Linked DNA regions of Notamacropus eugenii. The protein of the gene in region 4 binds, or shares a complex with, the protein of the main gene of each other region. Links are inferred from orthologs where the notes say so. Each region holds a gene or a part of one and is shown on either strand. Other genes may lie near its edges.

Evidence for each region.
Region 1: RBM15 (region 4) and METTL14 share a complex: the UniProt entries of both Homo sapiens proteins name them as parts of the WMM complex. The link is inferred for Notamacropus eugenii from reciprocal best matches to the Homo sapiens genes RBM15 and METTL14.
Region 2: RBM15 (region 4) and CBLL1 share a complex: the UniProt entries of both Homo sapiens proteins name them as parts of the WMM complex. The link is inferred for Notamacropus eugenii from reciprocal best matches to the Homo sapiens genes RBM15 and CBLL1.
Region 3: RBM15 (region 4) and WTAP share a complex: the UniProt entries of both Homo sapiens proteins name them as parts of the WMM complex. The link is inferred for Notamacropus eugenii from reciprocal best matches to the Homo sapiens genes RBM15 and WTAP.

Annotation. Positions count from the first base shown.
Region 1 is NC_092878.1:165,435,924-165,444,123, reverse strand, and holds the start of METTL14 (N(6)-adenosine-methyltransferase non-catalytic subunit METTL14), read left to right. Parts: upstream 1-5,111; 5' UTR 5,112-5,295; coding exon 5,296-5,361; intron 5,362-5,734; exon of another isoform or gene 5,735-7,701; intron 7,702-8,200. UniProt on the Homo sapiens protein: The METTL3-METTL14 heterodimer forms a N6-methyltransferase complex that methylates adenosine residues at the N(6) position of some mRNAs and regulates the circadian clock, differentiation of embryonic stem cells and cortical neurogenesis.
Region 2 is NC_092874.1:147,685,324-147,693,017, forward strand, and holds the start of CBLL1 (E3 ubiquitin-protein ligase Hakai), read right to left. Parts: upstream 3,207-7,694; 5' UTR 3,131-3,206; coding exon 3,118-3,130; intron 1-3,117. UniProt on the Homo sapiens protein: E3 ubiquitin-protein ligase that mediates ubiquitination of several tyrosine-phosphorylated Src substrates, including CDH1, CTTN and DOK1. Targets CDH1 for endocytosis and degradation.
Region 3 is NC_092873.1:253,463,078-253,470,548, reverse strand, and holds the start of WTAP (pre-mRNA-splicing regulator WTAP), read right to left. Parts: upstream 3,192-7,471; 5' UTR 3,062-3,191; intron 2,890-3,061; exon of another isoform or gene 2,657-2,889; intron 2,266-2,656; exon of another isoform or gene 2,047-2,265; intron 1-2,046. UniProt on the Homo sapiens protein: Associated component of the WMM complex, a complex that mediates N6-methyladenosine (m6A) methylation of RNAs, a modification that plays a role in the efficiency of mRNA splicing and RNA processing.
Region 4 is NC_092873.1:288,849,726-288,857,048, forward strand, and holds the start of RBM15 (RNA-binding protein 15), read left to right. Parts: upstream 1-4,238; 5' UTR 4,239-5,827; coding exon 5,828-7,323. UniProt on the Homo sapiens protein: RNA-binding protein that acts as a key regulator of N6-methyladenosine (m6A) methylation of RNAs, thereby regulating different processes, such as hematopoietic cell homeostasis, alternative splicing of mRNAs and X chromosome inactivation mediated by Xist RNA.

The DNA.
Region 1 (8,200 bases), on a different chromosome or scaffold from region 4:
AAGAAGGAAATGGAAATACAGACACAAAAAAGGGAAGCTGTGGGGCGGAGCCAAGATGGCAGAGTAGAAGAACAGACCTGTAGAAGCTCTCTCTCCACAGCTCATAAAATACCTGTAAAAAATGACTCTTAACAAATTCTAGAGCAGCAGAAGCCACAAAACAACAGAGTGAAAGAGATTTCCAGACAAGACAGCCTAGAAGGCCAACAGCAAAGGTCTATTACACCAGGCTTGGAGAGGAGCATAGTGAGGCCTTGGCCACGCCATGCAGCAGGGACAGGACTGGAGCAGGCTGGGGCATGGAATACCAGGCAGCAACTGTGGTTGCTAGATCCCCACAAATGCCAAAGACAGCTTCAAAGGTCAGTGAGAAAGCTCTTTCACCTGGGTGAGAAGAGAGCAGGGTCCTGCCCTAGCCTCGGCCCCAGGTGGTGGCAGCAGCAGCAACATCCATTTTTGGAGCCCTTGGCCTAAAGAACCTGGGGGAATCCACTGATCTGGATCTCAGCCCTGAGTGGCAGTCCTGGGGTGAGGATGAGCACTGGCTGGTAGAGCTGGTGGAGGCTCTGGACAGAGAATTCTACTCACACATCCTGGGCAGAAAAGCTTGGGGTTGCTCCCAGACCAGAGCACAGGCCAGGAGAGAAGTAAACTCCTCTCCTTTAATTGTGCCACCTTGGAGGAACTGAGAATTTACAGGTCCCTAGAGTATACCCTCCACTTGACAAGCACTCAGAAGTCAAGTAACTGACTGGGAAAATGCCCAGAAAAGGGAAAAAAAAATAAGATTATAGAAGGTTACTTTCTTGGTGAACAGGTATTTTCTTCCATCCTTTTGGATGAGGAAGAACAATGCATACTATCAGAGGAAGACATAAGAGTTAAGGTTTCTGCATCCAAAACCTCCAAAATAAATATGCAATGGATAGAATTGCGTGGTGATTCTATCAGGCCATGGAAGAGTTCAAAAAGGATTTTGGAAATCAAGTAAGAGAGGCAGAGGAAAAATTGGGAAGAGAAATGAGAAAAATGCAAGAAAATCATGAAAAGTGAGTCAACAGTTTGCTTAAGGAGACCCAGGAAAATGCTGAAGAAAATAACACCTTTAAAAATAGACTAACTCAGATGGCAAAAGAGGTTCAAAAAGCCAATGAGGAGAAGAATGTTTTAAAAAGCAGAATTAGCCAAATGGAAAAGGAGGTTCAAAAGCTCACTGAAGAAGATAGTTCTTTAAAAATCAGAATGGAGCAAATGGAAGCTAAAGACTTTATGAGAAGCTAAGAAATTATAAAACAAAATCAAAGAAAATGAAAAAATAGAAGACAATGTGAAATATCTCATTGGAAAAACTACTGACTGAAAAATAGATCCAGGAGAGACAATTTAAAAATTATGGGACTACCTGAAAGCCATGATCAAAAAAAGAGCCTAGACATCATCTTTCATGAAATTATCAGGGAAAACTGCCCTGATATTCTAGAACCAGAGGGTAAGATAAATGTTGAAAGAATCCACGAGTCATCTTCTAAAAGAAATCCAAAAAGGAAAACTCCTAGGAATATTGTAGCCAAATTCCAGAGTTTCCAGGTCAAGGAGAAAATATTGCAAGCAACCAGAAAGAAACAGTTTGAGTGCTGTGGAAATACAATCAGGATAACACAAGATCTAGTAGCTTCTACCTTCAGGGACTGAAGGGTTTGGAATGTGATATTCCAGAAGTCAAAGGAACTAGGATTAAAACCAAGAATCACCTACCCAGCAAAACTGAGTATAATGCTTCAGGGGAAAAAATAGTCATTCAATGAAATAGAGGATTTTCAAGCATGTTTGATGAAAAGACCAGAGCTGAATAGAAAATCTGACTTTCAAACACAAGAATGAAGAGAAACATGAAAAGGTAAACAGGAAAGAGAAATCATAAGGGACTTACCAAAGTTGAACTGTTTACATTCCTAAAAGGAAAGATAATATTTGTAACTCTTAAAACTTTCTTCAGTATTTAGGTAGTTGTAGGGATTGTACACACACACACACACACACACACACACACATATAGACAGAGGGCACAGGGTGAGTTGAATGGGAAGGGGTGATATCTAAAAAAATAAAATTAAGGGGTGAGAGAGGAATATATTGAGAGGAAAAAGGAAGAAATGGAATGAGGTAAATTATCTCTCATAAAAAAGGTAAGAAAAAGCTTTTTTTATAGAGGGGAAAAGTGGGGAGATGAGAGGCAAAAAGTGAAACTTACTCTCATCACATTTGGCTTAAGGAGGGAACAACATACACATTCAATTTGGTATGAAAAATCTATCTTACGCTACAGGAAAGTAGGGGAGAACGGGATAAGTGGGATGGGAGGGATGATAGAAGGGAGGGCAAATGGGAGGAGGAAATAATTAGAAGTAAGCACTTTAGGGGAGGGACAAGGTCAAAAGAGAGAACAGAATAAGTGGGGGACAGGATAAGCCAGAGGGAAATAGTTAGTCTTTCACAACATGACTATTATGGAAGTTCAGGACTATACATGTATGGCCTATCTTGACCTGCTTGCCTTCTCAGTGGGGATAGGAGGGAGGAAGGGAGAGAAGTTGGAACTCAAAGTTTTAGGAACAAATGTTGAGAATTGTTTTTGCATGCAACTGGAAAGTAAGAAATACAGATAATGGGATACAGAAATCTATCTTGCCCTACAAGAAAAGAGAGAAGATGGGGATAAGGCAAGGGAGGAGTGTGATAGAAGGGAGCGCAGGTTGGGGAAAGGGGTAATCAGAATTCATGGTGTTTTGGAGTGGAGTGAGAGGAGAGATAGGGAGAAAATTTGGAACTCAAAATCTTGTGGAAATGAATGTTGAAAACTAAAAATAAATAAATAAATTTTTTAAAAAAGGGAAGCTGCCAGACTTCAATCTCAGCTAGAGCTTCTGGCTTAGTTTCTATCATCTACCACTCTCCACCTTGATTTACTGACACCCTAAAATAGTCCCTTCTCCACATTCTCTTGCTGCCCTCAGTCCCTGCTCAGGTACCCTCTTTCTTTGTTTTTCCTTTGTACACTAACTGAAATTTGGGTCCTCTCCCAACCCCTTCCACATTTAATACTGTTGCCAGAATAGTCTTTCTTACCCTAACATGGTGCTTGGCTATCCTAATTGGAAACTAGCTCTCCCAGAGCATTATTTCCAGACTGCGTTAGCTCCTGGAGACCTTGGAAATCAAACCCTTATCAGAGGTATTTGATGCAAACATTTTTCTAGTGTCCTATTTTCTCAGTTGAACAGATTTGGTCAATGCAAAGGTTTTTCAACCTAATATAATGAAAATGATCTTTGTACGTGTGATTTCTGGTTAAGAATTCTCTTGCTTGCTGTAGCTGTGAAAGCTTCCTAATCTTGTTCTTTTTTCATTTTTTTTTTATGGTATGACCTTGAATCTTCAGGTCATGTAGCCATGTTGAGTTTATTATGCTATACAGTGTACCCGAGTTAGACCATTTTGGGGGAGGTTAAATTGCTTTTCGGTTTTCCTAGTATTTCTTGCCAAAAACGAAATCCTCCCCACAAGTAACTCATGCCTTTGGTTGTATCAAACACTAGGCTATTGACTTCAGTTGTGTCTGATTCTTCCTTATGGAGCCTGTTCCACGGGTTGACTTCTCTATTTCTTCATTAGCATCAAATTGCTTTGATGGTCATTGCTCTGGTAGAATATGAAATCTTAAATTCTCCATTCCTACTTTTTTCTTTGTCAGTATCCCCTTGACCTTTCAAGCCTATTGTCCTTCTAAATAAATACGATTTTATTTACCTCTATGAAGTGTTCGCTGATCAGTCTGTTATAGCCCCCAACCTCTAGACTGATTAGAACGGTATAGTCATGTTTATTATATTGGCCCCGTCCAACCATGGGTAATACACGCCCATCCAATCACTCTTCTCTTTAAAGAGTGCTGTAATTAATACACATCTGGAGTGTGCCTTGATTCTCGGGCTTCCTCTTGCCGTTGTTACTGCTGTGTAGACGCGCTGTGCAGATTCCAAGAAGGGAGAGGAGCGTCCATGCCCTGAATGGGGGACAAGGGGGGAAGATGGGGCACGGAGCAAGCCTCCGAAATGCCACCTGGAGTCTGCGTGTCTGGGGAATTAAGAGCCGCTCGGAGCTAGGCACAGGACGGTGCCCCCACAAGAAGACATCCAGAAGGAAGAGCACGTGCGAGGAGAGGCGGAGGCAGAGTCCGAGCTGCCGGGTGCGAGGCGAGACCTTGCAGGCAGTGTAGACACACGGGTCTTTCCTTCACTTAAATTCGGTTAAGTCGGCATCCACTGAACCAGCATTACGGACAAGGACAAGTGACCTCCGCTCCTCAAGGCTGTTCCTCCTCTGTAAAATGAGGCTGGGTCCCGCGGCCCTGCGCACTCTAAGTCCGCGGTCTTCGATGGTCAGCAGACTGGCCGCCCACAGTCCTGCCCAGGCTGCCTCCGGACCGCCCAGGCATTCTTCAGGTTCCCTCTGAGACGATCTCTGACCTCAAGGTCTGCCCAAACTGCACACGCGGCGTCTGCCCCGCGTGTAGCACCGAGCCGGCAGCGGGCGTTTCTCATTTTGGGGCGCTGTCGTGTTCCCCGCTTAGCACGGCGCCTGGGGTGCAAGGGGCACCGTGGGGGAGGGGGGCCGGCCCGACGCAGTGATAACCGGGGGGACCCGGAAAGGGGCTCCGAGGCTCCGGGCTGGGCGTCCGTCAGGGGCGGGTGCTCCCGGCAGACACAGAAAGCGGATCCGGAGGGGAAACTGAGGCCCGGAGGGATGGACGGACCCGCTCCGGGTCAGGCGGCCGGCGAGTGCCCGCACCGGGCCTCAGCGGAGAGGACGGGGCTGCAGGTAAAGGCCTGGCAGCTCGGACGGCACGCGGGACCCTGGAATGACCGGCGCTGAGCCCCAGGACCGAGGGCACGGGTCCGAGCCTGCGGCGGGCCCAGGCAGCGCAGCCCCGCGGGGCGCGCCCCCGAGCGAAGCGGGCACGCGGAGAGGGAGGGGCGGGGGAGATCCGCGCTCCGGCCACGCCTCCTGACCAGTGACGTCACGCCACCGCGCACGCCCCAGCGCCGGCGAGGTCGTGGGGAGGAGGCGGGACTTCCTGGACCGGAAGCGACGAGCCGGGGAGCGTGGAGTCGAGCGGGTCGTTGGGGCCGGTCCTCGGAGGGGACGCGGGCCGGGAAAGGCTCAGCCTCGGGGAACCGCCTGTCGCCGAGGGAGGCCCTCGCCCTCCTGCCCTGTGAGAATAGCGGCGGCCGGGACATGGACAGCCGCCTCCAGGAGATCCGGGAGCGGCAGAAGCTGCGCCGGCAACTCCTAGCCCAGCAGGTGAGCTCCGGGGCGGGGGCTCGGGGCTGTGCTGCCCGTACACGCGGCCGCCCCGCGCATGCTCGCTCTGCGCATGCCCGTCCCGCCCATGTCCGCCTCCTGTCTCGCCGCGCATGCCCGTCCCTCAGGCCCCCCTCCTCTCCCCGGCGCGCATGCTCGCTCTGCGCATGCCCGCCCCGCTCAGGCCCGCCCCCTGTCCTCGGCCGCTCTGCGCATGCCCGCTCCCTCTCTCGCCGCGCGCGCCCGCCCCGCTCAGGCCCGCCCCCTGTCCTAGGCTCCTCTGCGCATGCCCGCTCCCTCTCTCGCCGCGCGCGCCCGCCCCGCTCTCCCGGGCCCCGCCCCTCGGTCCCCTCCTGTTCCTGTTGGCCGCCCTGCTCCGGTGGCCGAGGTCCGGCGTTGTCCCCTCGGGCCCTGCTGGCCGCCCCTGCCTCCAGGAAGCCCTGGTGATCTAGCCTCAGTTTACGCCCCTGTCAGTGAGGGGCGAGTTAGCCCTGGTGGAAGTGCGGGCCTCGGGTCGCAGAGACAGCGGCCTGCTGGGAAGGGCGGGCCCCGCCTCGGGCTGGGAAGTGGGGGTGCCGGCGCCGAGCCCCCCGCGCGCCAGGGAGGGCGGGGGCGGGGAGGAGGCTCGCCCAGGCCCTGCCGGCCCGCCGGGGTCCGGGGCGGGTTCGAGCTCGGGTCTCCCGTCCCCCGGCCGGCGGCACCCCGCCGGGCTCAGCACGGAGCCTCGGCCACCCGAAGGAGCCGGGTCTCGGGCCCCTCCCCCCAGCGCGGACTCTGTTAGGGCCATTTGTTGAGCTTTTCGTTTTTAGGGTTCTTTGCAGGCCCCGGATTCCCTGCCCCCCAGGGCCCCCCGCTGTGCTCGCCCCTCCGCTCCCTCCCGGGACCCCGGACGGAAAGCCTGGCCCCAGGTGGGGCCACGGGTGGGAGCCCTTCCTCCTGCCGTGGGCTCTCCCCCGGTCTCGGGGGCGGTGGAGATCCTGCCCTGCCCGCTGGCCCTGGCATGTGCCCCTGAAGAAGCCCCCCGGGCGGCCGTGCCCCCGCTCTCTTCCCCCGCCCCTCCCCTCCCCGCTGGGCCTTGGGCACCGCCTCCTGGCTGCCCCGCTCCTGCCCTGGCTTGGCCCTGCCATCCGGGCCCTCAGGACTCTGCCCTGGCCCTGCGGGTGCTCTCCTCTGACTGTCCTCAGCTCTCACGGCCTCTGCACGTTCTGGTGCCTCTTGGCCCCCCGCTGTGCTCACCCGGGCTTCAGCTTCCCCCCTTGGGGGGTGTCGTCTGCCTCCTCGAGAGCCGAGGCCGGCCTTTGCTTTTGGTCAGTGTCCCCAGCACTCAGCACCCTCCTGAATGTGCCCTGGTTCAGAGTCCAGCCTGGCACGTAGTGTGCTGACTTAGTGTCCGCTCCCCCTCTGAGGGGGCTGTCACCCCTGAGCAGTCGGGCTACCCCCGCCCAAGGCTGGGTGCCCGCTCCTGGCCCAGCCCGCTGTCTACCCTGGCTTGCGGACAGCTCTTCTCCCCTCATGGCTCCAGGCTTGGCTGCCTCTTGCCAGGCGTGAGGCAAGAGCCAGCTTCCTCTCATCTGCCAGTGGGCTTTTTCTAGAGTGGTCAGACCTGGTCACTGCTCAGCGAGCTCCGAGCTTTAGATTCTTTGTGCCCCTGTCCCTTCCTGCCTTCCCAGTCTGACTGCACCTTACTGCCCTCCTGCACCTCTGCCATCCCTGGGCGTTGGCCTCGAGCACACCCTCTGGCGGCTTCTGCTCCGCATCTTTGGGCCAGCGTCCCCCAGGCTGCTGGGCTCTGCCTCCTGGTCTCTGCTGCCTTCTTTCCCAGCTTCGCTCCAGGCCGAGTACCTTCTGCAGGAAGCTTTTCCTGATGCCCTCAGCTGCTAACGGCTTCCCCAGTGACATTTACCCATCATCTCCGTTGGAGCACACCCAGGGCTGGTTTTTGCCTTTCTTTGTCTTCCCAGCCCTTCGCACAGTGCCAGGCACATAGCAGACCCTATTGAATGGACCGATAGCAGATGCTGACTTATCTGATCATTCTCTGGCACTGGTTAAAGAGAAGTTTAATTAGTCACTATCCATGATCCTGGTGACCACTGACCAGAGTCCTCAGCTGCGTGCTGTTAGAACGTATAGTGATGAGGGATGGGAGACCCAGGGCTCCTTTCTCTTCTCCTCAGCCTGTATGACCTTGGCCAGGTCCCTCCCCTTCTCTGGGCTCCAGTGTTCTCATCTCTTAAATGAGTGAGTTGAGTTTGATGATGTCTGCACATCTGCCCAGCTTTGAAATCTGCTGCTGGGATCTGCAGCTCGGCCTCAGAAGCCCATCAGCTGGTAGGCCAGGTTTGTAATCAGCTCATGGATGACGTCTACACTGCAGCACCCTTGTACCTTGCTTTCACTCCTCTGAACTAACCACATTTACATGGGACACCTTTTCACTAGGATTGACTGCATAAAGCTGTTTGCCATCGAACATGCCATTCTTTACAGAAAGAGCCTTGGAATCCCGTTGATCGTCCTTCATTAGGTGCTGAATCTGCCCTGGTTCAGAGTCCAGCCTGACATTCTGTTGGGTCTCGGTCCCTGGCTTCAATAGGTCTCTGGCACAGGACCATGTTTACTCTAGAAAATGACTGACTGGGGGATGCCCAAGGAGAGGAAACTGGGGGCTTAGGGCTGGAGGGACCTCAGGGGCATCTGGTTCAGCCTCTGCCTTCCCCAGAAAAGAGGCAGCAGACCTGAGATGGGGTAGCTTGTCCAAGATCAGACAGCAGAGCCAAGCTTTGAGCCTGGCTTCCTGACTCCAGATTCAGTCTTCCCTGCTACATGGGCTGCTGCA
Region 2 (7,694 bases), on a different chromosome or scaffold from region 4:
CAGGCATTTTATTAAAAGGAGGTATATCACAAAACCTATACCTTTCTCCCTCAAAATACACATAAGTAGTAGAGTAACTAGAAGCCATATTCTTGTGGTACAAAAAGGTGAAAGAAGAAATAATGAATTATATATAAGGCATTCCTAGACCTATACCTAAACCTAGCTCAGAGCTGCTGTTAAGAAGTACTTTTTTTCACCCAAAAAACATTAAGAGAAGTATAATGTTGCTATGAAGTCAACTAAGTCTTAGACCAAAACATGCTTTCCAAGCCCCGTAAATCACATATTTACCCAGTTACCTGTAAAGCTCAGTACTGTAAAAAGAACAAAATGCCTCACTTCCAAAACACATGGATTGCAAAGAGAGATTATGCATTTCTAAATGCCTAACACAAATATTATTCCCCAGAAAAAACTGTTTAAGGCTGAGGCATGACTTCCCAATTACAGGAAAAGATGTTACTTTTTACTAACTAAGCCAAATTTCAGTTAATTAAAATGATTTTTTTCAGTTACTTTTGTTAAGCACTTCAGTAAGTTACTGTGCTGTCTGAAAATTTTTAGGACATCTAACTAGAATTGTTCAGAATGTATTTAGGTAAAGCCTGCTTGAAGGTATTAAGTTGGACTTGAACTTCGAGACCTATTTCTAGGTTTCTCATCATTAAAGACTCATGTTCAATCCTACAATTCATTCTTTTGATCAACAGGAATCTATGATTGTTTGTTGGGGGGAGATTCAAAACTGAACCTTAAACAATGCACTTCAAGAAGCATTTACTAAATGCCTGCTATACGCTAGGAACTATGAACACAAAAACAAAAACATAAATGAAAACTCCCTGCCTTTATGGAAAGGGAACAAGGGGTACAACATTAATCAATAACCAATCCACAGGTATTTATTAAAATGCTTTTTATTATACAGCATTTATAACATACATAGATAAGTAAATACAAAGTGATTTTGGGTAGGAGAAGGGAAGTATCAACAATTGGGAAGATCAGGAAATGTTTATGGTAAGAATTCCAAGAGGTAAAATGGCAACAAAATAATCCAAAATATTTTTCATTACCAGTTTCTTAGCATTATTTTATAACAACTATTTTGTAACAAGCCATGATTTTAATATAAGATGGGGACAAGAATAACAAGGGTGACAAGAATAACAAGGGTAAGAGAGAAAAATAGCATCAAACACATCAAAAGATCGCTAATGGCCCAAAGTTTCCTCCCATTTCACCGAACACCTTTCATTAAAAGTTCAACCAAATCAACTTATTTCACTTTCACTTTTCATTTTTGTTACTTTTCCTAGCGAAGGCATTTAAAAACTTCCAAAAGAGCAGCCAGGTAAAGAGAATTGTTGGCCAGTGACTTTTCAGTTTGGTTCTTTCCTGGCATAAAACCTCACCTCTAACTTTGCTAGAAAGTCAAAATTATGTTTTTCTAATAATAGTATGCATTACTGTTACCTCTCCCTACCTGAACTGAATACTGCCCATAGTTTTAGTTTTGTATGAAGCTGAAAAGCCTCTACTAGCAGGTCTTTGTACACTACACAACTGGGGTTACAGCTGCAGCTGGTAAAGCCTGTTCTTTACTCAACTGCCCTTCTGTGTCTTAAGTCGTTCTCATAAATACAACATTTACTAGACGATATATGTACCCATGTTTTCTAAAACTAGGGTTTTACAATATACAAATAGGGTACACTTCTCACTGTAAGTCAGTAAGTCAACAAGCATTTCTTCCATGCTTCCTACCTACCAGGCACATTTGGAGAAACCAACAAACTAACAACAAAATTAAGAACGGGGTCCCTGCCCTCAAGGAGCTCACATTCTACTGCACTACAAGCACCAAGTTTCCTTTGAAATAGCCCTACACGGAGCGCAGAACTTGCGATAAGAAAACAATCCGTGACTGTTCTTTCACTTTTCTCAGGGTCCATTTAAAAATACTAGGTTCACCTAAAACACACACAAGCCTCCAAATAAATATCTCACTTCCAACGTCGAATGCAAAAATTCTGCTACTCTCTGGGGGGTGGGGGTGGGGGGCACTTCTCTGTTACGAAGTCCAAGACTTCAGCTTTATCAGTACTTTAGCAGTCGAAGCAGACAGGTGGCTCAGTGGGTAGACAGATGGGCCAGGAGTAAGGAAGACCCGAGTTCAAATCCGGCCTCGGACACACCCTGGGGAGTCATTTCACCTGAAGCGGCAAACCACTCCCGAATCTGTGCCCGGAAAACCCCACGGGCAGTCCGGACGCGCTGGGTCCAGGGGGTCCCAGAGAAACGGACACGACTTCGTAGTAAGTGCACGGTATTTTACTTCACGGACTACAGACACCCTACTAGCACTGCTCACAAAGCGCCCCAGAAAACAAAAAGCCTGGCTCACCAAGGGGCCGCGGCTGGAGAGAGGAAGGGGTTGTTGGTTAGCGCAGAGTCCAAAATGAGGAAGCTCCCAACCGCACACAGCCCAAAAGCCGAGGTTCGGGGAAGACAGAAGGGTCTGGTCGGGACTTTACACAAAGACTGCGCTGAAGGGGAGCTCGAGATCATATCCGGCTCCTTCAGCCTAGCTACCACACGCACGGGCACCGACGACAACGAAGCTCTGGGCGGCTGCGAGGGAGGAGGAAGCCACGGGGACGTCTAGCCCCGTGGCTCTACTCCCACAAAGCCAGGGTTGGGCTCCCCAAGGTCCCCTCCCTTCCCCAAAGCCCTACACTGGCCGGGAAATAGCCCCGGCCGGCACAAGCCGCCAAACGCCGAAGACGGAAAGGAAGGAGGCCTCGGGGGGAACCCAGCGCCCCCCACGCAGCCCCGGGGTCCCACTCTGGACCGACACGGCGCCGAGGCTGCAGCGCGGAGCGGGGGAGGGGATGTAAAGAAGGGGTGTAGGCCGAGAGGTCTATCAGGCCCCAGCTGGGCACGGCCGGGAGGGAGGAAGGGAGGGAAGAGGAGTATGTAGAGATCCTCCCTCGCCACTGCAACCCATCCCCTCAGGACGAGCCCGGTTCCGCTACGCCAGCCGGGCGACGGCGGGTCTCGGGCCGGCCGAGGGGTCCATGTAAACGAGACCCCCCCCCTCCACCTCCTTACCAGTGTGGTCCATGATTCGGCTCGAGGTGCACTCTGGGAGCGGAAGTCAGCGTCGCCCCAGTCACCACGGGCGCGTGCGCGACGACCCGACCGAGCTCAGTCAGCGGAAATGAGATGAAGGTGGCTTTTGCCGGGGTTCAGGGACGAAGAAAGTTCGGAGCAGTTTGGAATGGGACGAGGGAAAAAAAGATAAGGAAAATGGGAGCGCAAGGAGACAGCTTCATGGCAGAAGGGGCCGCCGGAGCGATTCCCTAGGTACAAGAAGGAAGAGCCATCTTCACAGATCAAACCGCTTCTCCCTTTGGCGGGAGAGAGCGGATGGGGGATGGGCGGGGGCGGTATTTCCTGGTCGAAGTACTTCAACTTCCGACAGGCCCCGCGGCTCCTCCGACCTCGCGCAGCCTAGCCTCCTGGGACTTGTAGTTTGCCCTGGACAACACCCTCCCTCGGGCCTCCAGCCTTCTCTCCCACCCGCACTTCCCTCCAGCGACTGGTTGTTCTCGGTGCGCAGGCTCAACCGTTGGGGTTGCTGAGGTCTCCGCGTTCGTCCCTGCAGGCGGCGGAAAGCTCGAGCGGAGTCTGGGGAAAGGCGTGGTTGGACGGCCGCCAGCTCCGAGGGTCCCAGAGGCTGCGTGCGGAGATCGAGGCGGGGAGCTAGGACCGGTGCGCTTTTGTTCCGTGTTGTGTTTTTGACTTGGTTTGTGGGGCTCCCGAGGCATGCGCTGAAGACCCCGTGCCCGCCCCCCGTCGTTTAACTATATGAAAGTTTTAAAAAGAAGTTTATCCAGTTGTTCGTTTCTGGGGAAGGTGCTGGGACGCCTTCTGAGGTCCCAGAAGGAGTTGGCTTCAGCCTCGCCCCCTCCCCCAATACCCACGTCCCTATCCCTGTGCTTTAACCTGATGGTTCTCAAGTGCTTTACAATCTGCAGACATCCCGTAAGCATCCCGCAAAATAATCGTTTTGCACCTATTTTGACTCTTCTAACGATTCCCTCTATCTCTTGACTCTGGGCATTGTTGTCTCTGGCTGTCCTCCCCTCCCCCTCCCATGCCCATGCCTTCTGACCTTCCTGGCTTGCTTTAAGTTCCGTCCAAGATCCTACCTCCCCTAGGAAGGATGATGTGTTTTACTTACTGTGCAGTTAAGTTACAGTAATAGCAATAGCCAGAATTCTTGGCTTCTCTGGATTGTGTGGGGATTACCAATCTCAGTCAAAAGAGCTCTTTAGCAGTCTTAAAGCAGTGAACTAGGTCCCAGCCTCACAGACCTTATTTTTTCTAAGTTTCTTTATGGATATGTAATCAGAAGCTTAGTTGGAGGGAGGCACGTATAAACAAACAATACTCAGATATTTGTGTGTAGCATTATTTATTGTAGCTGGTTATAATCCCTGCATTTTATGATCTATTTTACTGCACAAATTTGTTAATTGTGAAAAATCAGTAATCAAAGTGCAAACCTGGAAGAGTATATGCACAATGATAACGGCTCAAATTCAACTTCTTCCAGGTATTTTTTTTCCTTAAACTTAAAATGGACATATACCTAAACATTTTAATGGTCGGTTTCTGCCTTTCCTAAAGATAATAGGAATGTGTTGTGGGATCAATCAATTAAAAAGAACCCTAAAGATTAGGGGTGGAGAACCTACAGCGGCGAGGCCACAGAGGCCCTCAAGGTCCTCAAGTACAGCCCTTTGACTGAATCCAAGAACAGTTTGGTTTCCCAATGCAGGTTCCCTGCCCCTGCTAAAGATGATCTCTGAGCCTCTTCATTTTACAAATGAGGAAACTCATTTATGTGATTATGTGGGATTATGTGATTTGTGGAAAGTTCACATAGGTAGAATTTGATCTCTCCTCTGACTCCAAAACTGGTGCTTTTTCCACTGAACCCAAGGAAGAGTACCACTTTATAGTTATTACTGGACTTTTGCACACTCCACTCTTCATCTGCTGCTGTGCCTGGTTTCAACTCCAGGGACCAAGGTGGCCCTGAACTGGGGAACCCCCTTGGTCTCTCTTCCCCTAACCCCCCCAATTGCCGAGTTGGATTGTGAACTCCTTGAGAGCAGGGATTTTTTTTTTTAATTATTGTATCGGGCTCTTTGTAAAGTCCCTGGCATGAATTAAGTGTTTAATAAATGTGGATTGGAATTGAATGGATTGAATGCCCATGAAAACTTTTTAGACTTGGTTCAGTGTTCTAGCCTGTCAAGATATTTTTAAATCATGACAATCCAGGATGCTAAGTATTGCCGGCTAGTTTTGTGTCATGTGTAAATTTAGTGATAGTACCAAATCTTTATCATTGTGGTATAGTGGAAAGAGTCCCTAGAATTAAATTGCCACTTAACATCTGTGTTCCTGATCAAGTTATTTAAACTCTTTAGGGAGGAGGGAGGGAGAGAATCTCGGTATTCCCAACTGTACAATGAAGGTGTTGAACTGGATTACTTCTAAGTTCCCTTCCAATTCTAAATCTTTGGTTCTATGTTAAACTTCACAGAACCAAGTAGATCCTGGATCCCAGAGAAGGCATTGATAAAAAAAAAATATATTAATCACCTGCTATTCTGTAGGCACATCAAATCTAGCTTTTAGGTCTAGCCATTCAGTCAACTCCAAATCTACCTGCACTGTTATCTAGTTCACATTTTTATGTTTTTTTTGTAGGAGTAGCATAAGAGGCTTCATCATATGCTTTGCAAGTTTGAGAATAGGAGACCAAATGATGAAGATATTTAATAAGCATTTCTGAGAATGGATCTCAGAGTATATAAAAATGCAGTGCACATTGAGATAACAGTGATGAAATAGGGAAGGGAAAGTTTGACGTCATCTTCTGTTCAGTAAATTCCAGTAGCTTCCTGTCACCCAGGATCAAATATAAAATCCTGTTTGTCATTCAGAGCTGTTCACCTGTCTTCCCTTATCTTTCTAGTATTCTTACCCTTTCCTCACTTCCACATACTTTGTTAGCCACTCCCACTGGCCTATCTGCTTGTTTTTTGAAAGAGCACTGAGTATTTTCACTGGCTTTCCCCTGTACCTACAATGCTCTCCTTCCTTGTCTCCAACCAACCACTTAGTGTACTCAGAGGGATTGCTTATGTCTTTGTCTTAAGGCATCTGCTTCAAGTCAGAGCCAAAATCCTACTTTCTACAAGGATCCTTTTCTGATCTCCCTTAAGAGCCTTCCTTCTGTTGATTATATCCAATTTATTCAATATAGAGCTTGTTTGTACATACTATGCCATCTCCTGCATTCTACTGCCAACTCCCTGAGAGCAGAGATTATCTTTTGCCTTCTTTGTATCCCCAGAACTTATTACAGTGACTGGTATATAGTTGGTTGGTTGGCTGTTGTCCTTCGTTTTCAAAGAGGACAAAAATGACATCACCATGATAAAAATGAAGTTTCAGTGTGTCTGACTGTGGCTGATCAGACCAATACTGTATTTTCATTCATGCGAAAATTGGATTTAAGTGAGGCAGAGTTGCACAAAGTTGTCAGCCTCACTCTATCCCTCAGTCATCATAGTTCAGTGGCAGGACAGAGTCAAGATGGCTGGCAATGACTTAGGATGCCATGGATGACCTTGGTGTCTTCAGTATCTAACCAAGCTCTAAGGGCTCCACATCACCTGCTTCAGCTGCCTTCATGGCCGTTGGAAGTCTTCACATGTAGGGTATGTTCAGGGAGGACTAGTACCCTTGGTGTGATGGCTGCTGAGCACTTTTGGGGACTCTTTCTACCTTTGGTGTTCACCTGTTCCACCCAGCTCTCACCTGTGGCTCCAAGAAGCTGCAGTATGCGCAGCGGCCACACCCTGGTAAACCATTTTGGCAGAACGGCCAAACTAGGTTGAGGATAACCAAGGATTTTCAAACCCATTGATGAGTTAGGGGGTTGTCTACCTCAAGCATGTGACTGGTATATAGTAGATGATTAAGAAATACTTATTGATTGTAGAGGGACCTGTCAAAAGGGAGACATTGTAGAAATACATAAATAGTATATAAAGGACTCTCACCGTATCAAAGCCTCAGTCTTCAAAAAGACAAGTGATTTCAAAATGGACATCTTTTCCTTATTTCAATAAGTTTAGTTCTGTGGGAAGTTCCTTTTGTCCTTTATGTTCTTTTTCCCTTGTTCTATCCCCTTTTCTCACAAAACTTCAGTCAACAGTACTACATAAAACGTAGCAATATAAAATATTGTTTGGAGAAGTTTATGATGATATCTTGCAAATGAACGTGTTCACAAAACTAAAGCAGTTTCTTCTGGGATGTAGAGGTAGAAAACAGTAATTTCTTGATTTAGTTATCTGGATTTTGTGTGAAAGACTCACAAATGTTCTTTATAAGTATTTGGTTGTTATTTTGGGATTTGGTTGGGGTTTTTTGGTTTGTTTTTTCTCTAGCAGTCAATGTTCCAGCTAATCTGGAGTGCTAGCTGTTTCTTCTTCAAACAGTATGTCTTGCCCTGTGCCTGGAATGCATACCTTTCCTCCCCTTGCCTGTTTGACTCCTTAGCTTCCTTCAAAGGTACCACCTCCTAGAGGAAGTCTTTG
Region 3 (7,471 bases), about 35 Mb from region 4:
TGCAAAGACCGGGAGGCAGGAAATGGAATGCTAAATTCAGGGAACAGTGAAGGCCAGTTTGGCTGGAACACAGAGCCCATGAAAGGGAATCATGTGAATCTGGAAAGGTAAGCTAGAGCCAGACTTTGAAGGGTTTTAAATGCCAAGCTATGAAGAATGAATATTAGGCAAAAGGGATTCTTAAGCAGGGTAATGACATGCTCAAGTCTTTGCTTTAGGAAGACTATTTTGGTAGCTGTGTGAAACATGGATTGGAAAGGGAAGTGCCTGTTTGCAGGAAGTCTTACTAAGAGGCTACCAGCAATATCTAGTGGAAAAGTGATATAGGCCTGAACTAGGATGATCTTTTAATCCTAAGGCAAATGTGTGGTAACACATTTTCCCAACATAAGTGTGTTAACAAATGGTTGCATTTAAAGATGCTGTGAGCAGGCATGGCTCAAATATTAGAGACTGAAGTGACAATCCTAAGAATTTCAATCCAAGAGCTACAGCTCACCTATACCACTGTGAATCTATGATAACTAGCTGAGACTAGGCGGCACAGTGGCCACAGCACTGGAGTTGAGCAGACCTGAATTCAAAGCTCAGACACCAGATGTGACCTGTCTATCTCAGTTTTTTCAACTTTAAAATCGGGATAATAATAGCATCTGCTTCACAAGGTTGTTGTGAAAATTAGATAATATTTGCGAAGTGCAAAGTGCTCAAGCGTAGGTGCTTTAAAAAAATTTGTCCTGACTTCCCCAGTTTCCCTATCAGTAAATTGAGGGAACAATGCTCATTCAGTTACCTCCTTCATACCAATAAAACATGGAAATATGAAAGTATTCCATAAATGTACACTTACTCTAAAATAAGTAATATGCTCTCACAAATTTTTAAATTTTAACCTTGATGTTACAGCAACATCCGAAGGCCTGGGTTCTGAATTGAAGTTACTAATTCACTTTTTTAATATGGGCCTCAGTTTTCCAAATAAAGTTTGATTAACCTTTCCCATCTCTTCCAATTATAAAAAAAACTTAGCAACTTCAACTGTGAACTAGACTCTACATTGAAGGTATTCTGGAATAGTGGCAAAAATACTTAACTTGGGAGTCAGAAAACACAGATTATAGTTCTGGTTCCACTATTATCACAGTTATGTAACCCTCAGTAAAAATCAGTAAGTAGCCAAAACATCTTATAAGCTTCAGTTTCTTCATCTGGAGAAAATGGGGATAGTTATCTGCTCTGCATAGGGATCAATGGGTTGAATGTAAAACTAAACTGACGAAAATACTCTGCAAAAAGTACATGACACTAGTTTCATCACCCTCTCCTCAAAGTATTACATATAACATTCAATAAATATGTTGAAAAAAATGAAAGAACAGATCTCTCTCACTACTTGAAATGGGACCAGAGTAAACCATTCTCTCAAGAGCTAAAAGAAAAATTAGAGAACTAGCTTGATATTCTTTCAAGAAACTAAAGCCCCAGAGAAATTAAGTGGCTTGCTCAATGACAAGTAGCCAAGCCCAGGCTAAAACTGAAGTCTTTTAAAACCAAATTCAAACACTGTTTCCTAGAGCAGTCACTTAAAGGCATAGTAACAGAAAACACAATCAAAAGAACATTTTTTTCTAAAAACTTCATATGTTGCCAATAAAAACTTCAGGACTCAGAAAATGCTTAATTTGTCACTAAGAAAAAAAACTGAGTGGCTGGAAGTTTATGACAGGAGGAAAAGAGATTAAAGGGGGTGGGGTTCATATGATTTTCATTTATCCCCTATAGTAGCTAGATAATTTAAACACTTCTTTTATTCAGTTTAAGAGCAAGATGTAATACCCAGGACTCCCAACAACTCCGAACTACAATGCATTATTTAAAATATTTGCTATTCGGGGAGAAAACCCATATTAACCCCTTGCAACTAATACTACCCCAAAGTTTAACAGATTTTTATAAGACCAAGTACTAAAGAGTGTCAAAAAATTCAAGACCCTGTTACACCCACTTTTTTCTCCCCCCAAACTATTTATACCAAACGGGCCTCACCTAAAAAACGAGCGGGCAGAGGAGGAGGCGTGGGATTCCGAACAAGTTTCTGGATGTAAACACGCCAACACTTCTTTAAAGCTACTTTGTTTCCTGTTCCCGCGGATTAAAGCTCATTCTAGCTCTAGGTTTGCGAAAACTGGGGCGGGCGGGGGAGGAGTCCATTATCGCTCCCCAAAAACTCATTTTTTTGTTAGGATAAATTTAAATTTAGGATTCCTAAGGAAATAAACAAACCCAAACCTTTGCTTTTTTTGGCGTAGTTCCTTTTTAAGCCCAGTCGACCCAGAATTCGGCCGAACGTGGCGGGAGCTCCGGGCCCCGCGCCCGCACCCCGGCTCGCTGTCCCTTCTCCCGCTTCCCACCGCAGACACCGAGCAGGGTAAAATGGCCTAGGGCGGGAGCATCCGCGTCCCCGCATCAAAGGAGGCGAAGCAGTTAACGGAGTCGGCGGCCCCGCAGGCCCCGGCTCCTCCACCGCCGCGGGGAGCGGCCTGCGGACCGGGCGAGGCCGGGGTAGGGCGAGGGGGGCGTCGGGAGGGACGGGGTCACTTCGGGGCCCGAGGCGGGCGAGGTCTGTTCCGGCGGCGGCCCCGCGTCCCGCACTTACCTCTTCACGCCGAGGCAGCCCCTGCCGCCGCCGGCTTGTCACATAGACCGGCCCGGGCGCCGACCCCCTCACGTACAGACAGACGGTCGGAGCGGCGGGCGGCCGGGCTCGGGCGACCCCACCACCCCAAGCCGCCTGGGTGCCCTCGGCCCCAGCGACGGCTCCTCCTCCTCCTCCCGCCGCAGAGAATGACTCTCCCCTTTATTTGCGGGTCTCGCTGCTACAAAATGGCGCTGGAAGAGGAAATGAGGCTCCGTCACCCCCCCCACCCCCTTCCCTTCCCCGTCTTCCCGCTCCTCCCGTCGGACGGCTCCGCCCCCAGCCCACGCAGCCCCGCCCCAGCTCCGAGCCGAGCCCGCCCCTTCCCTCCTCCCGTCTCGTCTGGTCGGGGCCTGGCTCACTCACCTGGAGGACGAGGCTTCCGATAGGTCGCCTTTGCGTCCAGCCGGAGTCCGCGGCGGGTACCCGCGGGTGGGCCCCCCGCCCCCGCCACGCCGCTCCCGGCCTGGGGGCAGGGGAAGGAGACGGCGAGCGGCAGCAGCAGCCTCAGCAGGGGCTAGCTCGGGCGGCGGCGGTGGAGGCGGCTTTGCTCCCGCCCCCCCCCGCCCCGCAGAGCCCAAGCTGAGGCGCCTGGAGAGGCCGGCCAGCCGACCTAGTGACGGGTGGGGAGGGGGGGTGGCAGACGTGTGGGGATGGGGTCACGGAGGGAGGCGGGCGGAGTGGGAGGGAGGGGAGAAGGTTGGAGTTCAGCCGCGGAGCATCCTGGGAAAGGCGATGGGGGGCGGGGTGGGTTTCGCCTACTCCCGCGGGCGGAAGGAACGTTCCCGGGGTCCCCTGCTGCTGCTGGTGCTGGAGGGCGCCCGCCGGCGGAGGGATCCTCGGGGGTTGGCTGCCTTCTCGGAAGCCGGCGGGGTTTGCTCGCGCGCCGGCGTTCTGCTGGCTGGTCCTTGGTGTGGCCGGTGTCGTGGCCCGTGACGTTGTGAGGAGCTGCTCCTCGGGCTGCCCGGCAGCCTGAAGACCGCGCCTCCCGGGGGAAGGCGGACCGGCCTTTGTTCTTGTGCGGGCTTGGCTGCAGCTCCTACCGCCGGGAAAGAAACGCCAACGAGGGGCTGCGCTTGACGGCTGGTGCGGAGCCCCGGGCTTTGGGGCGTGATTGTATTCTCATTCCACATTCACTGGAATAAAGTTCATTACGAAGGAGCCAACCAAGTTGGACTCAGCGAAATCGCAATTGTTTTTTGTTGTTGTGCCTTTTTCTTTCCACGATAGAACCGTAAAAGAGCTTTAAATAAGACTGCACGTTAGAGTTTTCTGTACTATGGGCTGGTCAAATCATTGCCGTAGTAGGTGTCCGCCCGAAAACTCAGCTGACCTTAAAGAAGCTAGTCTTTAAGTATTCATTAGGATACAATTAAAGGTAAGACGTGCTTTGTCGAAGGAGACGGACGAAGTTCCTCTTGATAGCACAAAGGAATGATAAGATGAGTTAGACGTGGCTGAAAAGTAGTGATCCTAGGGAAAAACATTTCTTTAGCGTTCATATACGATTTTCCTCAACTTAGTTAATACGAAAATGAAATTGCTTTTCTAACAATCCTGGGAAAGTCTTTAGGGTACTATCTTTAGCAATGTCGAGCGCATGGAATCATGGAGTTTTAAAGCTGTGAAGGGGCCTTCAATATTACGTAGCCTTTTGTAGCCTGGCTTCCAACCTATCTTTCCAGCCTTCCTCACCCACCTTGTGCTCAGTGATCGAACTAAAGTGGCCCTCTCTCTTCCTCAGCGTCTCTGCTTTTGTCCTGGTTCTCCCTCACGAATGGAATGCACACCCTTCCCAGCTCCGCTTTACGGAATTCCTTTCTGCCAGATGCAGTTCAAACACATGAAGCACTTCCTGATCCCCCAACTGCTAGTGCCTTCTCAAACGATCTTGTACTTATTTGTATCCTCCTTATATTTATTCCATATATATTTGTTGTCTTCTCATTAGAACGCAAATCCCTTTTGAGCAGAGTTGGTTTTATTGTGTTTGTATCCCCAAGGGTACTCTGCCGGGAGTATATGCTGTGTTCAGGAAGTACGGGCACCCCTGGCGTGAGGGCTAGCAGAGTTCTTTTCAGGCTGCTCATCCACCTTTGGTGTCCACTTGTCACCCAACTCTCACCTGTGGCTCCAAGAAGATGTAGCAAGTACAGCTGCCATACCCCGGTTTAAAAAAAAAAAAAAGGTCTTGCCAGACAGGCTGAAGCAGGTTGAGAGTTAACTGAGAGCGTTAGTGAGTTAGGGGGAGGTCTACCCTAAGCATGTGAAGACTGTTGGTGAAATGAGCTGATGAGAACACTATAATCAGAAGGCTGTGAAGGTGCTGTGTAGTGTTTGGAGCTTGGTCAGAGGATGCCAAGGTCATCCACTGCATCTAGGCCAGTCATCCTGACTTTGATTTTGTCACTGGACTTTGATGACTCTGGAAGAGAAAGTGACGACTTAGTGCAACTTTCCCTCACTGAAATCCAAATTCACATGTTAGTCAAGTCCTCACTGTCATGTCATTAGTCTCCTTCAAAAAAAGGAAGAATGAACCACAATATGTGTAAGTGCAGCTAGGTGGTACAGTAGATAGAGGGCCAACTTTGCCAGAAACCAAAACAATACAACTAAAACAACAGAATAACAAAAGTCCTAAGGCCTAGCTCAGTGCTCAGCACAGGAAATGCTGAATAAATATGTGTTCTCCAATCACTTTTCAGTCATGCAAGATTCTTCATGATCCTGTTTTGGAATTTTCTTGGCAAAGATACTGGAGTAGTTTGCCAGTTCCTTTTCCAGCTCATTTTACAGATGAGGAAACTGAGGCAAACAGGGTTAAGTGACCTGTCCAGGGTCACACAGCTAGGAAGTGAGCCAGATTTGAACTCAGGAAGGAGTCTTATTGATTTCAGGCCTGATGCTCTATCCACTTCACCTAGCTGCCCTTAAATACTTTAATGTGTTTTTAAAACACCCTTTAAGATGTTTTCTATTGATCTAGTTAGAATTTTTATGTGTACTTTGTAAAGGTTTGATTTTGAGTTCTCTTATCACCTTGGTGAGATTATAGGGAGGTTAGCCTGTCAAACAAATCATATCTTCCCACAGAGGGTAACAAAGAGGCATTCTTTGGCACCTCCTGAAGGGCAGGTCTTATTGACAAGGACTGTTTCTATATGTATTTGTTGACTTGAACTCCTGTTCTGTGGGTCTAGGGGAAAGGGCTTTGTGTTGACAGGAAATGAGGTGAGCCCCACTGTGATGGAGCAGGTTGTTCAGAATAACCAGCCTTTGAAAGGGAGTTTTCCCTTTGTCTTTCCCTTTGTCTCCCTTTCTTCTGGAGAAACCCTAAGAGTGTAGCAGGACTAGTGCTTAAGATGTTAGTGGATGCTTTGGAGAAGAGGTATCAGGCACATTATGAAATGCATGTGCTCATGCCCATGTGGCTTGAGAAGAAAAATCTTGGACACCAGGGGCCCATTTCACCTCAGCCCCAGATATGTAAAAAAGCTTACATATGCCAAGAAACTGAGTAGCAGCTGGAGTTTTAGTAGTGTATCATCAGAGTCATAGCTCTATAAATAAAAGGGACTTTTTGGAGATTATGGAGTCAAACCAACTTCATTTTGTAGATGAGGAAATTAAGCCCAGGGTGGTTTAACTACTTGCCAAGGTCACACAGCTGGTGTTCAGGATTCAAACTCAGGTCCTGTAATTTCAAGTTCAGTGCTCTTTTTCTTGTACCATGCAGTCTTAAGAGTTGCTGGAGACACATAATGAAGGTGCTTGCCCTTGTGGGTCAAAAGTTCCTTGGCAGTATTCAGTTGCTGGCTCCACCCTCAAAGAGGCAAAGGCAGGGCAGCCATGCTGAGGGCAGTCATTTAGCTAAATGGTAAGAGTCCCTGAGGAATGTGTCCCAAGTAGCAATCTAGCAGTTGAGGGATTTCTTGGACAGTGCCAGTTTCAGGGGTTGCCCTAAAGATAACCCAAGTTCAAGAATTTGGGAATCTAGCCTTCTATTGAGAAAAAGGAAATTTCCTAAGTGCATGCTTCAGAGAAAGATTCCAGCATCTGTGGCCCCAGTCCTGGGAGGAACAGTATAGGGGACTAGAATTACAATGTGGAGGAACAGGGGACTTGAACATGGTACTGTGTCACCACATATTTATTATGCACTTACTATATTCCAGGCACTGTGCTAAGCTCTAGAGATACAAAGAAAGGCAAGAACTGTCCCTGCCCTCAAGGAGCTCACATTCTATAATGTAAACAGCTATGTACATACAAGTTTTAAGTAGTGTGGATGGAAGGTACTACGCTGACTGAGCCACTTGGATGGTGTGATTTTGCTGGGAAGAATTTTGCCTGTCTAGCCACCCTAGGTGGATGGTAATGACAGGATGGTTTTGAAAATTTGAAAAAACTTTGGAAACTTGTACAAATAGGACCCAATGGAGAAGGAAGAGAATAGTTTTGATTGTAATAACTGTAGAATCTTTTCCCACACTGTTTATGGACTCCTGTGGAGTGCTTCTACAGGATCTGGAAACCCTCTGTGAGAACCTAGACATGAGATTTTCCCATAATAGATACTAGATGAGGACATAATGAGTCAAAGAATTAGTGATTTGGTGGGAAGGTTTCATGATTATAGAATCACAGAATTTGAAAGTTGAAAGGGACCTCAATGGCTATCTGCTCCAATTCATGTGCCAAAAGAATTACCATCGATATATCCAATAAATAGCTATCCAGCCTCTGCTTGAACACCTCCAAGGAGAGAGAACC
Region 4 (7,323 bases):
ATGTCCCTTCAGAACTGGATGCCCTCCATGATATATCTTCTCTAGATGTACTTGGTCCAGTCTGGCTGTTTTCCCCCATCTTTATTCTCAGTGCCCTTTTTAGCTCCTCTATAAGCAGCTGTCATAGAAGATGGAGATCAGGGCCTGAAGTTAAGGAGACTTGAGTTCAAATCTGGCCTTAGCCACTGGCTAGCTGTGCCTCTGGGCAAGTCATTTAACTTCTGCCTGCTTCAGTTTCCTCCTCTGTAGAATGTTGACAATAACAGCACATATCACAGGGTAGTTGGAGGATCAAATGAGATGTTTGTAAAGTGCTTAGTTCTGTGCCTGGCACACAGTAGTTCCTTGATATCTATTGCCTTCCCTTCCCCAACTGTGATGTTCCATGGAGAAAACAATTTGATAAAATGGTTTTTAAAAATCTTGTCTGTTTTTCTTTCCATTTTCGTTCTTCCATTTTCATTCCTGAATGCCCTTGAGATGACTTTGCTTAGTAGTAGGATATCTTGCCATGGTTTTTAAAACTTGGCTTTACCTTTCACTGCTTCTCTTTGTATTATAAGAGAATTGTGCTCAAAATCATCCATCAATCTTCTTAAGATTTTATAGACAAGTTTATATGACCTTGGGTTTTGGAAGTCAACACCAGTGCAGTACAATGTCTGGCAGATTTTATCATGCTGGAAAGACTTCAACTATGGCCCTGGCCATAACCTGTTTTATGAGGACTAAATCAGTTATTTATGGAGAGGTACATTACTAGCAGGCTTGCCATGTGGTGATAATTTTTTTTTTTGGCCATGGCAACTCACGAATGAATATTATCATTTAATATGTCAAACAGTTTTTTCTTCTTTTCGGAGTGCTTTATGAACAAGGTGAATTATTAACGTTAATGTTATTTTTAATCTTTTCTATTTACTAAAATGACAAATAACTGGGTAATAAATGAAACTTTTAAATAATATGCTATAGACTATTTTAGAAACAATGAAATTTTAGACGAACTCCTATTGAGTTACATAATGGAATTTTTCTTGATTTGTCTATTTAGAGATTGTCTCATAAACTGAGAAGCTCTGATATATGAATAGCCAAATTAATAAATAAGGTTGATTAGGTGAACAGTTTTCTTACAAAAGAATTCAATATTTATATGATAAATTATGAACAATTTTTCAGGAACACACCTATTGTAATAGCTAACAATTATATAGTACTTTAAGGTTTGCAAAGTGTTTTGTATATGTTATTTTGATCCCCACAACAACCCTGGGATGTAGGTGCTATTATTATCTCTATTTTACAGAAGAGGAAACAATCTAAAAAGAGATTAAACAACTTGTCCAGGGACCCACAGTTAATAAATGTCCTTGGGCTATATTCAAATCCAAGTTTACCTTTGCAATTCTGCAATTCCAGAACTCTATTTGTGATACTGAGCTGCTTCCCTATTAAATACTATGCACATCGGAACTGTTGGCAGGCATATTCTGCCTCTTGCTGTTCAGTCCTGTCCAAGTCTGACTCTTCATGATCCCATTTGGGGTTTTCTTGGCAAAGATTCTGGTTTACCATTTCTTTCTCCCGTTCATCAGACAGATGGGGAAACTGAAGAAAACAGGGTTAAGGGACTTGACCGAGGTTGGATTTGAACTACGATCTTCCTGACTCTAGGCCCAGAGCTCTTATCTATTGGGCCACCTAGCTGCCCCTTTCTACCTGTAGGCACATTCTATATTTTATTATATACTGAAAATATTTAAATAAAAAAAGGCACTAGAGTAGGGTACTTGCTCTAATTACATGCTCCATGTCCTTCCTTTTCCATTCATAAATCTCCTGAATAATATCTTCAATGGTCTTCACTAAGAGCCCACGATGATACCTCCCCTCACTGTGGTGTGCAGGTGTCTATACTAGCTGAACATAATTGCTAGTGGGCTCTACCAAGCTGGAAATGTTTCTGCATCTGCACCCTTAATTGAATTTAGGACATCATCTGGATGTCTTGAAGGCATCCTATACTCAACATGTTTCCCACTATTAGCTGAAGAATACACATCTTTCCAGATGCATTTCTTCTTTACCCCTTCCTCCAACCAATTCAAGCCCAAGTCTTGTTGATTCTACTTTGTTACTGTCTTGTATTCCTCCACATCTCTACTCACACAGTCACTATCCTAGCTAGGGATGTCATTACCTCTAGCCCTGACCATTGCAATAGCTTCCTAATCGGTCTCCTCCTCAAGGCTCTCCCTTCTCCAATCCATACTCGCTTTGAAAGGGCTGAAATAATCTTCCCAAGGCATGAGTCACTTCCCCAAGCAAAAATCTTCTGTGGTTTTTTAACCTGTAACATAAAACACAAACTACTCAGGCTGGCATTAAGAAAACTTCATAATCTGTCTCTAACTTAACTTTATAGTCTGATTTCATATTATCTTGCTTCACATAGTCTACATTCCAGACAAACCAACCTATTAGCAGTTCCCTGAACTCAACCCTCAGGATCAGGTGCCTCTTCCTGAAGTAAGACTTTCCAACTCTCCCCCCCCCCCCCCTTAAGTACTCTTAGTACTCATCTCTGCAACCCATTACAATCCTCTCCCTATCCTCCCCTCCCCACCTGGGTGTAAGCTCTTTAAAGGCTGGAAATGATTCGGTTTTGTACTCTTGGGATATAGTAGAGTGTCTTGTATCCTACAGCTGTTCAGTGTTTGTTGAGCTGATTTGAATTAGATGGGTTTGATGATGGTTTTTGTTTCCTTGTAACAAGTTAAGTATACTCAAACAAAACAAACCAACACATTTCGCTACTCCCCTCTGAAAGTCCAGAATCTCTCTGCCAAGATGGGAGATAAAAGGGGATGCTTCATTATCAGTCTTCTGAAGTTATGATCTCCAGTCCTTTCTCCAACACACTGCTGTCTATCCATTTCTCCTCAATCCTGTCTTTCACAGCTGTATTAAAAAAAAAATTGAAATGTTACATGTAAAATTTAAAATTTAATCTTTGTAGATTCATCTTTCCATTCCAGAGGCAGCGAGGTGGTACAGTGGATAGACTGCTGGGCCTGGACTCAGGAGGTTCTGAACTCATAGCCTGTCTCACATACTAGCTGGATGACCCTGGACAAGTCATTTAACCTCTGTCTGCTTCATCTGTAAAATGGGGGTTATGATAGCACCCGCCTTACAGTAGGGTGATAGGGAGGATGAGCTGAGAAGGTACTTGTATCATGTTTTGTCAAACCTCAAAGTGTGAGCTGTTCTAGACTTCTGAGATCTTTCTACATCCTGTGGGCTATCAGTATGCCAGCCGATGATAAATTTCATAGTGGAAGGATCTGTCTTATCTAAATGTTATATTTCTTCCTGAACTGTGTTTTTCATATAGTACACAGGTAGGCCCCTAAGGCGTCTACTGAACGGATTTAAACTGAATCAAGATTTTCATCCGAGTCATTGATAAAATGGTGAACAAGGCAAGGTCAAGCACTGAGCCCTGTGGTCTTCACCTAAGGTTGGCACCTGTTAGACAGTGCTTCGGGCTCACATAGGAGCCCACCTAATTTTACTATCATCTGTAACATAGCTCCAACTTGTCCAGGAGAATACTAGCGGTTTTTTTTTGAACATCACAAAGCCTTTTTGACTTGCTAAAACAGATAATTTCGTTTAATTCAAGTCATTATACATTGATTCTATGTCCAGTATGTGCAAGGTGATAGGGCTACAAAGAGAAAACCAAAACAGTTTCATTTTAAAAGAGCTTCCTGGCTTATAGCATCGCCTTGGTCCAGTTTCATAACTGTCAGGGGAAAAAAAGGCATTAGGTTAGTTTAGCAGAATTTCTCCGTTGTCATATCCATTCATTCAGCACAGTGTAATTTTATACGCTATGTTTTATAAATCTGACAGCGGTGCTTTGCGAGGGAGCCTAGGGCTGAAACAGGAAATGAGCCAGCACTCGGGGTGGACTGCGCAGTCTAAGGCGCCCAGAAGCGGCCGCCGCAGGCACAGAGGCCGCGCCGTGCGGGCGGCAGCAGCCGGAGCTCGGCCGCACGGGGCCGCGGACGCGGAGCCTCGGAGACAGCGGGGCCTCGGCGGCAGCGGAGCCTCGGCGGCAGCACCGCCCTTAAGGTGCCAGCTGCGGCCGGGCCGCGCCTCCTTCCAGCCCCGCCCCGGGCTGACGCGGGCGCCGGGGCCGCGAGCCGAGGCCCGTCACGGGCGCTCTTCTTTTTCAGGAAGAGTGCTTTTCACTTTCCATACTGGCTTGTCTTACTTTCCCTCCCGCTCGTTCCCCAGGGAACAAAACGTTTGATTTTAACCCGCAAAAATCCCTTCTTAGGCGCCTTACCGGGTCGGACCTTTCCCCCCCGGGAGCCCCAGCCCGCCCGTGACGTCACATTGACGTCACCGTCCTTGCTCATGCACCTTTCGGATCCCAGTCCACTTCTGGGACGGTCGAACCCGGGTTCTGCCTCCTGGCAAGGACCCCCCCCCCCCCCCCCGCCTCCTTCCTCCCAGGGGGCGGGGCCCGGCCTCTCAGGTATCCAGCAGGTGCCCCAAACCCTAAGCCTGAGCAAGGCACGGGACTCCTTTGCCTCAGTTTCCTTCTCTGTAAAATAGGAAAATTAGCGCACACGCACACGCCCCTCCTCACACGGTTGTTAGGGGCATCAAACGAGATGAAAATGCGTAAACTTCTTTATAAATACTAGCTGTTATTATTAATGATACAAATTTTAATTCGATTGTGCGTGACGGGTCACTTCTACCCTCTGCCAGACTAGTGCCGAGGTCGGAGGCTGTGCCTTATTACTAGCCATGGCCCGACATACAGTGGGCGCTCAATTAGTGCTCTATTGGGGACAGGCACGTCCGCAGGGAAAAGGGCTGGGTGGAGGGACAGAGGGCCAGCCTCCCTGCCCCGCCCTGCGGCGCCTGACGTGGTAGTCGGGCTTGGGCCTGCCACTTTCCGTAGGGATTGCGGGTTTCAGGAAACGACCCTTCCCGCCCAGCCTGGGAATGGGGGTGGGGGCGGGGGAAGTGAAGAGGCGCAGCGGGCAGCCACGCAGTAGACAAATCCAGAGACTTCGAACCCCCTCCGCGCAGACCAGACACCGCGGCGGGGGCGGGGCCCGGCCCGGCTCGCACTCAAAGCGCCCGACTCTAGTAACGTCACCACGCACCCACGCGCTCCAGTCTTCACCTTCAGTCTCCTCATTCGGTCGCCGCGACTAGCCCTTTAAGAGAGGAGAAGCTGAAGGCTTCAGAACTTGATTGACATGCCTTGAAGCCTATCAGATTCTTGGCAGGCACCCAACCAGATTTAAATTCTCTACTCAGACACTGGACGCAATGAAGGAAGAGTGAAGAGGGCGGGGGAGGGGAGGAAGGAGAAATAGTTACTCGCGAGATATTAGCCTAACCCTCGCTTCGGAAAAAGTGCCCGAACTGATGGTCTCGCTTTCCAATTAGAAGTCAAGGGGAGGGGATTACGGACCAATGAAAAGGATGAAGAGGTGGGCTCGCTATTCTCCCCGCGCGAGATGAACCGTTACAGGACGGGCCTATTAGCCAATCAACCTCGCTAGGATTGGAGTCAGGTGATTCGATGGTGCGGCGAGGGGCGGAACCACCGACTGGCGCGAGGAACCGTTAATACGGACAACGGCAACAACCAATGGGATCCTCTTCCTAGGACGTCAAGACTCCAATAAGAGAGGTCGGGCGGGATCCTTCACTTCGCGCTGGGAGCTGGGGAGACAGACAGAGGGAACCCCCAATGACCTTGAGGAAGAGAGGCGCTCGCTGACCAATGAGGGCGGTGGGGCGGGGTCCATTGCCGCGGCGGTGTGCAAGATGGCGGCGCGGGGTTCCGCTGTGTGAAACCAGCGCGGGCAGGCGAGCTCCCCTGTTCCGAGGCGGCCCCGCACAGTCCTCCGCGATGAAGGGTAAAGAGCGCTCTCCCGCGAAGGCCAAGCGCTCCCGCGGCGGCGGGGAGGAGTCGAGCACCCGCGGGGAGCGGAGCAAGAAGCTCGGCGGCTCCGGCGGCAGCAACGGCAGCAGCAGCGGTAAGGCGGACAGCGGCGGCCGCCGCAGCCTGCACCTAGACAAGGGCAGCAGCCGGGGCGGCAGCCGCGAGTACGACGCGCCGGGCGGCGGCTCCAGCAGCCGCCTGCACAGCTACAGCTCCCCGAGCACCAAGAATTCGTCGGGCGGGGGCGAGTCGCGCAGCAGCTCCCGCGGGGGCGGGGAGGCCCGCTCGGCCGGGGCCGCCCCCAGCTCCGCGGACGGCGGCGGGGGCGGCGAGTACAAGACGCTCAAGATCAGCGAGCTGGGCTCCCAGCTCAGCGACGAGGCGGTGGAGGACGGGCTGTTCCACGAGTTCAAGCGCTTCGGCGACGTGAGCGTCAAGATCAGCCGCCTGCCCGGGGGCTCGGGCGACGAACGCGTGGCCTTCGTGAACTTCCGCAGGCCGGAGGACGCGCGGGCGGCCAAGCACGCCCGGGGCCGCCTGGTGCTCTACGATCGGCCACTCAAGATCGAGGCCGTGTACGTGAGCCGGCGCCGCAGCCGCTCCCCTCTGGACAAAGAGGCCTACGCGCCCGCCGCGGTGGTGGGCGCTGCCGTGGGCGGGCACCGGCATCCCCCGGGCGGGGGGCAGCGGGCGCTGTCCCCGGGGGGCGCAGCGCTGGGCTACCGGGACTACCGCCTGCAGCAGCTGGCCCTGGGCCGCCTGCCCCCGCCGCCCCCGCCCCCGCTGCCCCGGGAGCTGGAGCGGGAGCGCGACTACCCCTTCTACGAGCGTGTGCGCCCAGCCTACAGCCTGGAGCCCCGAGTGGGTGCCGGCGCCGCCCCCTTCCGCGAAGTGGACGAGTTATCTCCTGAGGATGGCCAACGTGCCAACCGCACTCTCTTCCTGGGTAACCTGGACATCACGGTGACTGAGAGCGACCTGCGCAGGGCCTTCGACCGCTTTGGGGTCATCACCGAGGTGGACATCAAGCGGCCTACGCGGGGCCAGGCAAGCACCTATGGCTTCCTCAAGTTCGAGAACCTGGACATGTCGCACCGCGCCAAGCTGGCCATGTCCGGCAAGGTCATCATCCGCAACCCCATCAAGATCGGCTATGGCAAGGCCACGCCCACAACACGCCTCTGGGTGGGCGGCCTGGGCCCCTGGGTGCCGCTGGCTGCCCTGGCCCGCGAGTTTGACCGCTTTGGCACCATCCGCACCATCGACTACCGCAAGGGCGACAGCTGGGCCTACATCCAGTACGAGAGTCTAGACGCGGCCCACGCTGCCTGGAC